Drosophila melanogaster: one gene and its partner. The protein of the gene in region 2 interacts with the protein of the main gene of each other region in a pairwise test. Each region holds a gene or a part of one and is shown on either strand. Other genes may lie near its edges.

What was found.
Region 1: the proteins of Gprk2 (region 2) and RapGAP1 interact in a two-hybrid assay, tested with the Drosophila melanogaster proteins (one large-scale study listed by BioGRID).

What each region holds. Positions count from the first base shown.
Region 1 is NT_033779.5:7,575,809-7,580,910, forward strand, and holds the start of RapGAP1 (Rap GTPase activating protein 1), read right to left. Parts: upstream 3,173-5,102; 5' UTR 2,752-3,172; coding exon 2,429-2,751; intron 800-2,428; exon of another isoform or gene 437-799; intron 206-436; exon of another isoform or gene 1-205.
Region 2 is NT_033777.3:31,403,251-31,408,494, reverse strand, and holds the start of Gprk2 (G protein-coupled receptor kinase 2), read right to left. Parts: upstream 3,251-5,244; 5' UTR 2,539-3,250; intron 1-2,538. Other genes in the region: PNPase (polynucleotide phosphorylase), read left to right, coding at 3,938-4,083, 4,140-4,559, 4,620-5,244. UniProt on the Drosophila melanogaster protein: Specifically phosphorylates the activated forms of G protein-coupled receptors. Required during oogenesis and embryogenesis; component of a signaling pathway that functions during egg chamber maturation.

The DNA of each region.
Region 1 (5,102 bases), on a different chromosome or scaffold from region 2:
AACGATTTTTGTTTAAAAATTTCACTTTTAACTACGTGCGCGTATTTATGCAGCTGTTTTTTTTTTTTGGCAAACTTATTTTGATTTCTATTTGTCTTGCCCATTAAGACACCTTTGCCACTTTCGCTTCTAATTTTTTGATAAGGCCAACAAATGCGATTTCAATTTGTTGTTATTCAAGCACACACGTTCAATTAAAAGTTCGTCAAACATTTTGCTTATTGTTTGTCTATTTATTGCTTTCGTTTTCTTTCTTTTGTTTAGGCTGTTTAGGAAACCGCCTCAGTGGGATCAATTGCAAATTAATTGTTGAAGAAAGTTTGCGTGTTATGCTTAGCATGATTTGTTTTTGTTCACTTTTTTCAAGAATTCAAAACCACAAATCATCATTGCCTTAATTGGTTATATTAATTTTATAATTTTTTTGGTTGATTACCTAGCACTTTCACATATTCGAGTATTCGTTTGTTGTTTGCTCTTCTTTTTTAACAATTTTCTTGTTTGTTTTGATTTTTCCATTCGTGGCGCTTCTCGCCGTCTTCTGTTGCTGTCGATTTGCAACTGCTTTGCGTTCTACCGTTACTTTTCGAACAGCTAATGAAGAAGACGCATCAGCGTCTGGACCGCAGACCCGAAATATATTACGATTCCTGTTCCGATTCCCGATATCAGGATTTCGCGACGCAGACGCGCGACAACGCTCACACACACGCCCGGTCGTCCTCGCACACGCACACACTTAGTCGGACACTCGCTGGCTCGGACGCCCACACGAGTTGGTTCACAAATCGACTCTGAGTCGCAAAGCAGAAAAGCTGCGGGTCTGGCCCCAAACGAACACGAATGCGAGCGACGAACAACATCGTTGCGCACGAAGCTCAGATTTCAGGTTCCACTGGCGAATGCGATCCACAAACTCCACAGTGGGGGCCAAAATAATAGTGGCTGTGGATCCAGTTATGGAGATTTTATTTATGTACACATATATTATGAAGCTTAGACAGATAAAAATTATTTAATGCAGCGCAGACAAAGAAGAGTGGAATGATATATGAAATAACATGTAAAACATGTGATGATACAGATATGCATTAATTCATATTAAAGAGCAGATAATTTTATAAAAATCCGTGCTATTGCTGCGACCTTAACTGTACGTGCACGTTGCATTTTTGTTAAGGCGAGAGAGCGAGTTTGTTGTTGTTCTGCTCTCACTGCTTTTGTTGCCTTTATGGGGGCGAAATTCTTGTTTATTTACATTTATTTACATTCCAAATGCGCGCAGTTTAGGCAAACAGAAAGAGTTGTTGCCAGGGGAGAGCGGAGCTGCCCGCATTAGCCAAAGTAAACAGTTTGGAAAACAATGCAATTCAAAGAAGCCGGCAATGCAGTTGCCAGTTAATTATTTGCACAGTGTACCCCAAAAGTATGCAGAAGGCAATGATTTCCCTCCACCGAGAGATAACCAAAACAAACCGAATAACCGGAACCGGCGTGGGACACCAATACACAAGTAAACAGAGGCACGAGCCAAAAACAGTCGGCGTTCGCCCCCTTGGAAAGTGGTGTTATTCCAGAACACGTTCTTTCATGAGCCTTTTTCGAGAGAAAGTATTTTCACAATTTGGATATACCATTTTTCTGGATTTCTGATGTCAACCCGAATAAGTATTACAGAATACGAAATTGAATATGTATGTATGTATGTTATAGTAGTTATAAAAAAGAATTTTCCGTCAACTTTTGTTGACTAAACATTGTTTTTTGTCTTGTACACCAAATCTAACAATTTGTGGAAAAAGAATCACTTTGAAAAGTGTTCACAAACTTTCGACTTGTATTTGTAAATGCAAAAAATGCAGTTCTCCCGCGAACTGTTTCCACAATCCACAAAATGACGTCGGCGTGTTGCACTTGTTCCCTCGTTTTTATCATCCACATGCTTGCCGATGTTTTCGTTGGCGGCTGATAACGAACAGCTGATAACCACACGATAAACCGCAGCTGCGAGGGGCGTTTCGAAAACCCGAAAACAGATAACCAACTGTTGCATGCCCCACATTTTTGGGGTTACACATCAAAGTGAACCGCAAGACAATGGATGCCACTTCTTTGGTAGTTTCTATATAAACAGGTATGGAATGCATGCATATATTTGGTCATTCAACATTTATCTCGGTCTCCATGGAAGTGATTTACAAGAGAAAGAAATAAAATTGATTTGTTTACGATGTGTAGGTAATAAATGGGTAAAATCATTTTAAAACCTTTCAAATGCTAGGCACAAACAAATTTTAAATTCTTGACCACCTGATGCTCTGATTCTAAACGATTAACCACATTAATATCTTGGCACTCATAAAAATGAGTAATTTATTAATGAATAAATTGAAAAAAAAAACTAGTTTTTATCATTAAGTGCACTTACCTTAGTGGTTCTGTCAGCATATCTATATTCTCGCAGCTTTCCATCTCCAGTCGCTGGTATTGCAATTGCCTGGCACTCGAAGTGCTCGATCTGCCCCCTGATCCTCCCGAAATTGTGGCCGAGTTGGATGAATGGCGACGATACTCGGCGAAACTCTCGCTTTTGCGGAGACCCGGAATTTTTCCGGAACTGTTGCGCCAGTACTTGATCATCCGGTGTAGGGGCTTGGGCGAACTGGCTGCCGAACTCGGGGCCAGCGATATTTCACTGCTTCCCACTATAATCGGATGGCCATGATCCACCAATGTCCTGTAGGAACTCATTTTTATCGCCTAAATCTACTAAATTTTGAAAGGTTACTCTTGAGAATATGTACTAACAGAATATGTACTATGTACTCTAGTAATTGCATGTGTTTTTTATTAGTTTGTTTTATTATAATGAATTTATTAAGTTAATTGAAATATATACGTTTATAACTTTCCATATAGATTGTAGAATATATTATATTTTTAATTTATATTTTTCACTGCGAATTGGTACTCTTATCATTTCTACTCCGGGCTTACACTTAGATTTATTATATTCACTCATTACACAATGTGACTATAGTTATAAAATTAATTTATGTCTACATTTTTTTTTTCTTTGCATAAATTAGAATTCGTTCGTTGCATAAATCGCGTTTCGTTGGGGTTTCGATATGATGTCGCGTCGCGCCGCCTTCGATTTTCCGACTGACCGCAACAAAGAATCGGAACAGAGCCCCAAGAACCGACTTTTTAGAACCGAGCTCCATTATCTGGAGCGTTCTCCCTCGCTTGTTTTTGCTCTCCCTCTCTTTCCATTTCCATTGTTTTTATAACTTCGCACGTTTTATTGCATAGTGTTTTTTTCTGAATTTACTTATATTTCTTGCGATTTCATTATTTTAAACATACCGGGTACTTCTGATCTTAATTGGGAATATATGTACTTAAAGCGATCATATAAGCATCAAAAATCTGTTCAAACAATGTTTTTTTTTTTATATATTTATTTATTTAGAAGCGATGAATCAATACAATGCAATAACAGTAACATAACAGCGCAATTAACATATAAAAGATAAAACCAAACCTCTCACTAATCATGTGAGGACTTAATTCAAACAATGTACTATAAATAATAAATATTCTCACCTTTTTGGGGTTAATGTGTTTTATTAAAAATTAAATTTACATTTTTTAGGTTTAATTTAGAAACCACTAAAGAAGTGGATATTGTACTCTTTTATAAATATAAAAGGTATATTCCATTCTTAAGCGCCAGTTAAACGTTTTTACTAGTTTTGGATTGTATTTCAGTTTTACTGTGCTGGTGATAAATGACCGAGCTGGGATTCCGCTAAGTCAGCTCGTTTTCATTTTATTGCTGCCGATATACAAATTAAGTGTAATCCGTACATATAGAGACGTCTTTATTTATTTTTATTTACCATTTCCAGCTATCGGATATCTCAGGGTTTTCAGCACCGCCCCCTTTAACACGCCCCATGAATAGAAACCATTGTCTAGTTCAATGCTCCAATCAATCACCATTTAGACTTTGGTTAATTAATTAAACAATCCATCAAGATTTTCTCTTATCTGATTCTTACACCTTCGTTTGACATTTTCAGGTGCTGGGAAATTGATTTGCGCATAATAAGCGACGATTTTACTCAGATTTTCCTCATTTCTATGGCACTTGGAATAGGAAAAAGTAGTGTGGGGACAACTGGAAAATATAAATGTCTCATCGATGCATCAATGAGTCAAGCTGGGTTTACGATTCTGCTGCGGGTCACCACCAAGAACTTTAATGGTTCTCGAAAAGAGGGTGATAAGGAAACAGACTTCAGGGCGTCGCAATATGCACAAAAAACGGACGGAGAATAAGTGCATTAAAGTCGATGGGGGGGATGAAGACAGTGGCGTCGAAAAGTGGTTCCACAACTGCTAAATGCCGCTGCAATCGAGTTAACAGGTAATGGAATATCCAGCAAATCAGATAAATGGAACATGCAAAACAAATCGCTCGATAAGAGAGCTGTAAATATGAAAATTATAAAAAAGAAATCAAGTCGTTGTAGCTTCAAGATACTCTTTTTAGTAAAATGCATCTGCCTGCATTCAAAATAGAAAATGGCATTTCTATTTTGTCGAAATACTTCTTATCTGTTTTAATGCCTTTTGATGCATTTCAAAAATTCATGTGACTTAATAAGTGTTTAATGTTTAATTTTCCCCCTATCGCGATCTCCTAATTACAGAGTATCAAAACCAATTTAAAGTGAAATCGAAAACCCAAATCGAAATCGAATTCGCAGTTGCTACTGTAACGGTTTCGGCCACGGGAAAGTCGAGTAAGATTTATCATGACATTTCCTTGATGACGATACTCAATCGCAACCGCCCCCCTACATCAACCCCCCAGCACCGCCCCCATCCCCCATGACCACTCGAGCATCGTGTGTGCGTTGTCAAAATTACATTAAAGCGGAAATCGCATGCTCCGCTTCAGTGCCAATCGAAAGAAGACAGCAAACTGACCGCAGAGTAGAAAAAAAAACTAAAACTGCACTGCCCGCAGTCTCGGATAACTGCACTGGAAAAAACTCTTGGCTTTTCTATGTGTTCTTAAAAATCTGCTC
Region 2 (5,244 bases):
GAACCTTTCACGCTGCTTGTTTTCAAAACCCATTAGGCAGATGCCTTTTCATCTATTAGAAATGAAAAGGAAAGGAACCATCATTAAGTGGCTTTTCACTCGAAGTGATTCGATTAAATTTGCATGCCCTCCGGAGATTTCGTTTGGCAACTAATGAGCCCTCCATGTGCCATCCGCCCATTGCCACTGATCCTACCCATCCCTCTTTCACTTTTCCGACATATTCCGCAAAACTTTTCTCACATTTCACTCCAACTTTTCCCACACGCACAAGGAACTCGAACTGCAAGTTCTAATTGAATTTAGTTTTATTAGGGCACATGAAAGGAAAACACAGGGCCTGGAAAAATGGAAACATTGGGAGCGCTTTCAGTTTTCATTGGCTGCCAAAGGGTGAGGAAATCTGGTTTTCTTAAGGGCAAGGCAAATCCCATATTCTCAATCAAGGAAGGCAGGATTAATTAGATTGAACGAGAAGGGAACCTTAGAGCCTCTTTGTAAAGCCCAAAGTCACAAGAAAAACAGGCACCGAAGTTGGTAAGCCGATTTTGGACCAAAAACCAGCAAGTGAACAAAAGGCGGCGACCACAAAAAATTGATTTAAGCTGATTTTCGGGCCATTTGTGTTTTTCGTTTTCTGTTGTTTTTTTTTTTCTTCTAGAGACCAACAATATTGACCGACGACCACGCCCAGTTCGGGCGGCGTGAGGGGCGTGCGGCGCAATTAATATCAATTCCCGTTGGGCCATTAACACGAGCCAAAAACATATTGGCTAACAAGTGTCAAAGTCGCGCCAAATTAGCGCAGAAGGCGACGATGATGGCATGTGGGCGTGGTCGGGATTGGAATTGGAATTGGGAAGTTCAGTGGGCTGGGTCCAAGTGCTGGCAATGATATCCTGCCAAGGGAAGAGCAGCATGTGGCCAACCCTCCTTCGCGCTCGAACTGGCGTTCGTTGTTTGGGTCCTGCCCTCATTGATAATAATATTCGATTGGGTTTTATTTGCCCATGGGGTTGGCGCTGATGGTTTATTGTTGTCTGCACGGGGCCCAGGATACCCAGGATACACATGTTTCTGCCAATTGCCTACGTCATCCTGTCGGAATGGGTTGCGGGTTCTCGGGACTCACAGCTCGCAGCTCGCAACTCGAGTCGATAAACTGTGACGCAAGCCCTCGAAACATGGAAACAATAGTTGCGACCTGACAGTTGAAAAGGGCACCCCATGGGGTCACACATCAGAGATCTTGGACTTTAACAATCACCATCTGTGTACCAGAGTAGAGGTCTTCTGTGAATGGCACATTGACTCCCATCCGCCGATGAAAAGTGGAAACGTTTATCAGCTAAACGTCCAGCTCGTCTTAATTATGCAGCCGGCGAGGCGATTCTCAAACAATCAGAGACACCCGGCTGCCGATGACGTACCACAGAAAAAAGAACTCGAAATGCAGAAGCGATAAGGAAAGTACATCGGGACATTGCGAGGGTCGCCCTTGAAAAGCGGGGGAAAGTTACGCTTTTGGGGAAAAACTATTTTTAACGACTCGCATTTGTCAGCTGCAAATGGAAACGGGAATTTATTGCCAGGCAATCACGCTGATTTATGGTGATTTCAAAATGGTTTCACTAATTGGTTTGCGTTCTTTTCCAATGTTCGTGCTATAAAAATACAGATTTTGAGTTCGAGTACCGCAAATAGTTTTCTGTTAATTTTGGAAATAGGTTTCATGAATTATGGGGAATTTTCCTGTGCATCACATCTCTGATGTTATTCCGACATTTTGCATAAAACGTACAGTATTTTGGAAGTAGTGTGCAAGTGATTAATAAATAAATATCTTGAATTAATGTTTATATCAGCTCTGAAAACTTTACGTAAATATAAAATGTATGATTTTAGAAGTCAAAATAATCAGTGAACACGCATGGCAGTGAGTCATCACTATTGTGAATGCCCAATATATTTTTGTGTGAGCAATAGATGTTACTTCCGGATATCTTGGTAAATGCAAAAATAACAAGCTGACTTATGTCTACTAAGTCATTGATAAATTGTCAGAGGTTAACTAAAAAATAAACAAATTATTAATGATCCAACAATTCCACCGATTATCTCGATAACTTTTCATTTATTTACCAACCTGCCCTCTTTAGCGGGTCAAATGATGGACGGGAACAGCGAGACAATAAATAATGAGCTATAAATATTCATATAGTGCATTGTTGGGCTGATTGCTTGCATGTGTGCATCTGTGCATGGGTATTTATGCATTTAAAAAGCAAAGAAGGAGGACCTACTGATAAGCATTTCCCGATTGCTTTCACTTTTTAATCGATTGGCGTGGGGTGACAGGGATGGCGCGAGTCCTGCGGCATTAATGCAATTAATCGCCAGGAGAGACAAGGCCAACGTGTGTGTAATTTACAGTTACCGTTAAGTGCTTAAGTGCAAAGGAGGGGAACAGCCAGTGAGTTGTGACCACCGAGGAGCAGTAGAAAATAAGGTGATTTCAAGCTGATTAATGAGACTTACCTGTTTGTTTGATGTGCTATTTAAAGCTTCACTGTGAGTTTCGGCTGGTTGGAATTTTCGCAACAAATGTGTGGGTTCTGATAAGAAAGCGGGCGTTGATAAGACGCTTTTCCTTCTCTCTCTCTCTACCACTCCTTTCGCACACCACTGCAATTGCAGCATAAACAATTTGAAAGAACAAGAAGAAGCAGCGACACGCCTAGTGGGCAATTTTCCGGCCTTTTCGTTGGGAAATCTGCGTTTTTTTGGCTTTGCGCTCTTTTTTGACTTTGCCTTTTGGCTTTGCGCAAGAATACTCTTTGATTTTTTGTTTTTCTTTTCAATTTGACCGCATTTGTCGATTTTGGTTTTCTTTTCGGTTGTTGTTGCGGCTCTCACCAAAATTCACACACACAGGCGCGCTCTCACACATGCACAGATGGGCGGGCACACAGAACACACACACGCACACTACGACACACGCGGCGTTTCGTTGACGGAAAAGATACGAAAAATACGGCGTGAAATTCCCAGCTTTTTTCGAAAAGGCTCGCAAAACAAGGGCTCGACGCTCTTGCGGTTTTCCGGTTGGAGGAGTGGCTTTTCTAAGACGACACACGACGACGTTCGCAACTGGGCTTTCTGCAAGTGCCCAAAATTAACGATGGATCCGCGAATTGCCTGCTCGAAAAATATTGGAGTCTTCTGTAAGACCGTCGTTGAGTTAGTGAAAGACGTCTTCGACTCGCGGTAAAAAACTCTAAACGCGTAAAAAGACGGACTAATTTTGGCGGACTGTGTAGTGCTGATGCCTCAGCTATTTTCTAGCTAGCTTGAATTACTTAGATCTGGCGATTTGGACATCGTCGCGTCATTCTGTTGGTCGTTTTAGGACCTTTCAGAACATACCGTCTTAATTCTTCGTTTCTGAAAAGGAATTTAAATGCTGTTTCTTGCATGCTGTAACTAACATTGCTAAGAGTTGGCAGCACTGCAAATTTGACATTATCGGGGACACAAGCTAATAGTTCATTTTCTGGGAACCCTTCTAAATATCTTATTGGAAACGAAATTAATTTTTTTAAAATACGCTGTATTAATATTTACTACATTATTCCTAAGACATAATCCGTGTAATAGTTTGTCTATATAATTCATTTGTTGTTACCCTTGCCAGGTGGCAACGCCGAACGCACACATGTTGCACACTCTACTTTGTTTTAAATGGGCATTCTAGTTTTGAGATAACTGAATTAAACAATACAAATAGTTGAGGCGCTCTAAGTCTAACTTCCAAGTCTCAAGAAACGTACAGGGCTTTTATTGTAAGATTTTGACCACTAATTATTTCTTAAATAACCATGAAAATACAGCGTACAGAACTGTCGCCTCAGCCGGAATCACCCGGCACTTTTAGGTAATGGCCATGATTTTCACACGGAAATCGCTGAAGCTGCTCAACTATCGCCTCAAATGCCTAAGTTTGTCCTGCCCAGGAGGAAGGAGAGGAATCCAAAGCAGTTCCAACGGAGAAGCGCCCTCCGTGGAAGTCAACTTCAGCAATGGGTGAGTTCGTGGCCTCCACTCCGAGTTCCAATAGCAAAGTCTTGAATCCTCCGCAGACGTAACATGACCTTCAGTTCCGGCCGCCTGGCGAGATTTGCGAATGGAACAGCTGTGTGCCAAATGGGCGATACCGCCGTCATGGTCACCGCGGTGGCCAAGGCGAAGCCAAATCCCGGCCAGGGATTCATGCCTCTGGTGGTTGACTACCGACTGAAAAACGCCGCCTCTGGCAGAATACCCATGAACTTTATGCGCCGCGAACTGGGCCCCTCGGAAAAAGAGATCCTGTCCGCCCGCCTTATCGACCGTTCGCTACGCCCGCTCTTCCACAAAGATTATCGCACGGAGACACAGCTGGTGTGCAACATGTTGGCTATGGACGCGGTGCACAGTCCGGATGTGCTTGCAATCAATGCCGCTTCCATGGCGCTATCTCTAAGTGACATTCCCTGGAATGGACCCATTGGAGCTGTGCGGTGAGTACTCACGAACGAATCTAACTGGTAACCGCTTATAACTCTTTTAATCCTACAAAGCGTTGGCCTCTGCGACGGCGAGGTGCTGATCAACCCCACGCGCCGGGAGCTGCAGACTTCGCAACTGGATTTGGTAGTCTCCGCCACCAAACAAAACCTCGTCGTTATGTTGGAGGGCAAGGGGAATGTGGTTCTTCAGCAGGACCTTCTAAAGGCTATCAAACAAGGGACTCGTGAGGCCCAATTCATTATCCACGAGATCGAGCGACTGCAGAAGGCCTATGGTCGACAGAAGCGCGAAGTGGAAGTGGCTGCCGAAGTAGATCCCGAACTGGGGAAAGCCGTTCGTAGCATGTGCGAAATGCGGCTGAGAGAGATCTTCCAGGATTCGACGCACGACAAGATGTCTCGTGACAATGCGGTTAACGAGGTGCGCTCCAACGTTATTGACAAGGTGTGGAGTTCGTTTCCGGATACCGAACCGTCGCTTATTACCGAGCAGTTCAACCAGACCAGTAGAACCATTTTTCGCGAACTGATCTTTGAGCGGGGTCTGCGTTGCGATGGACGAGATTACGACCAGCTGAGGAACATCTCCTGCCAGGTGGACATGTACAAGCCTCTCCACGGATCCGCCCTATTCCAGCGCGGTCAGACGCAGGTCTTCTGCACGGTTAGCTTGGAC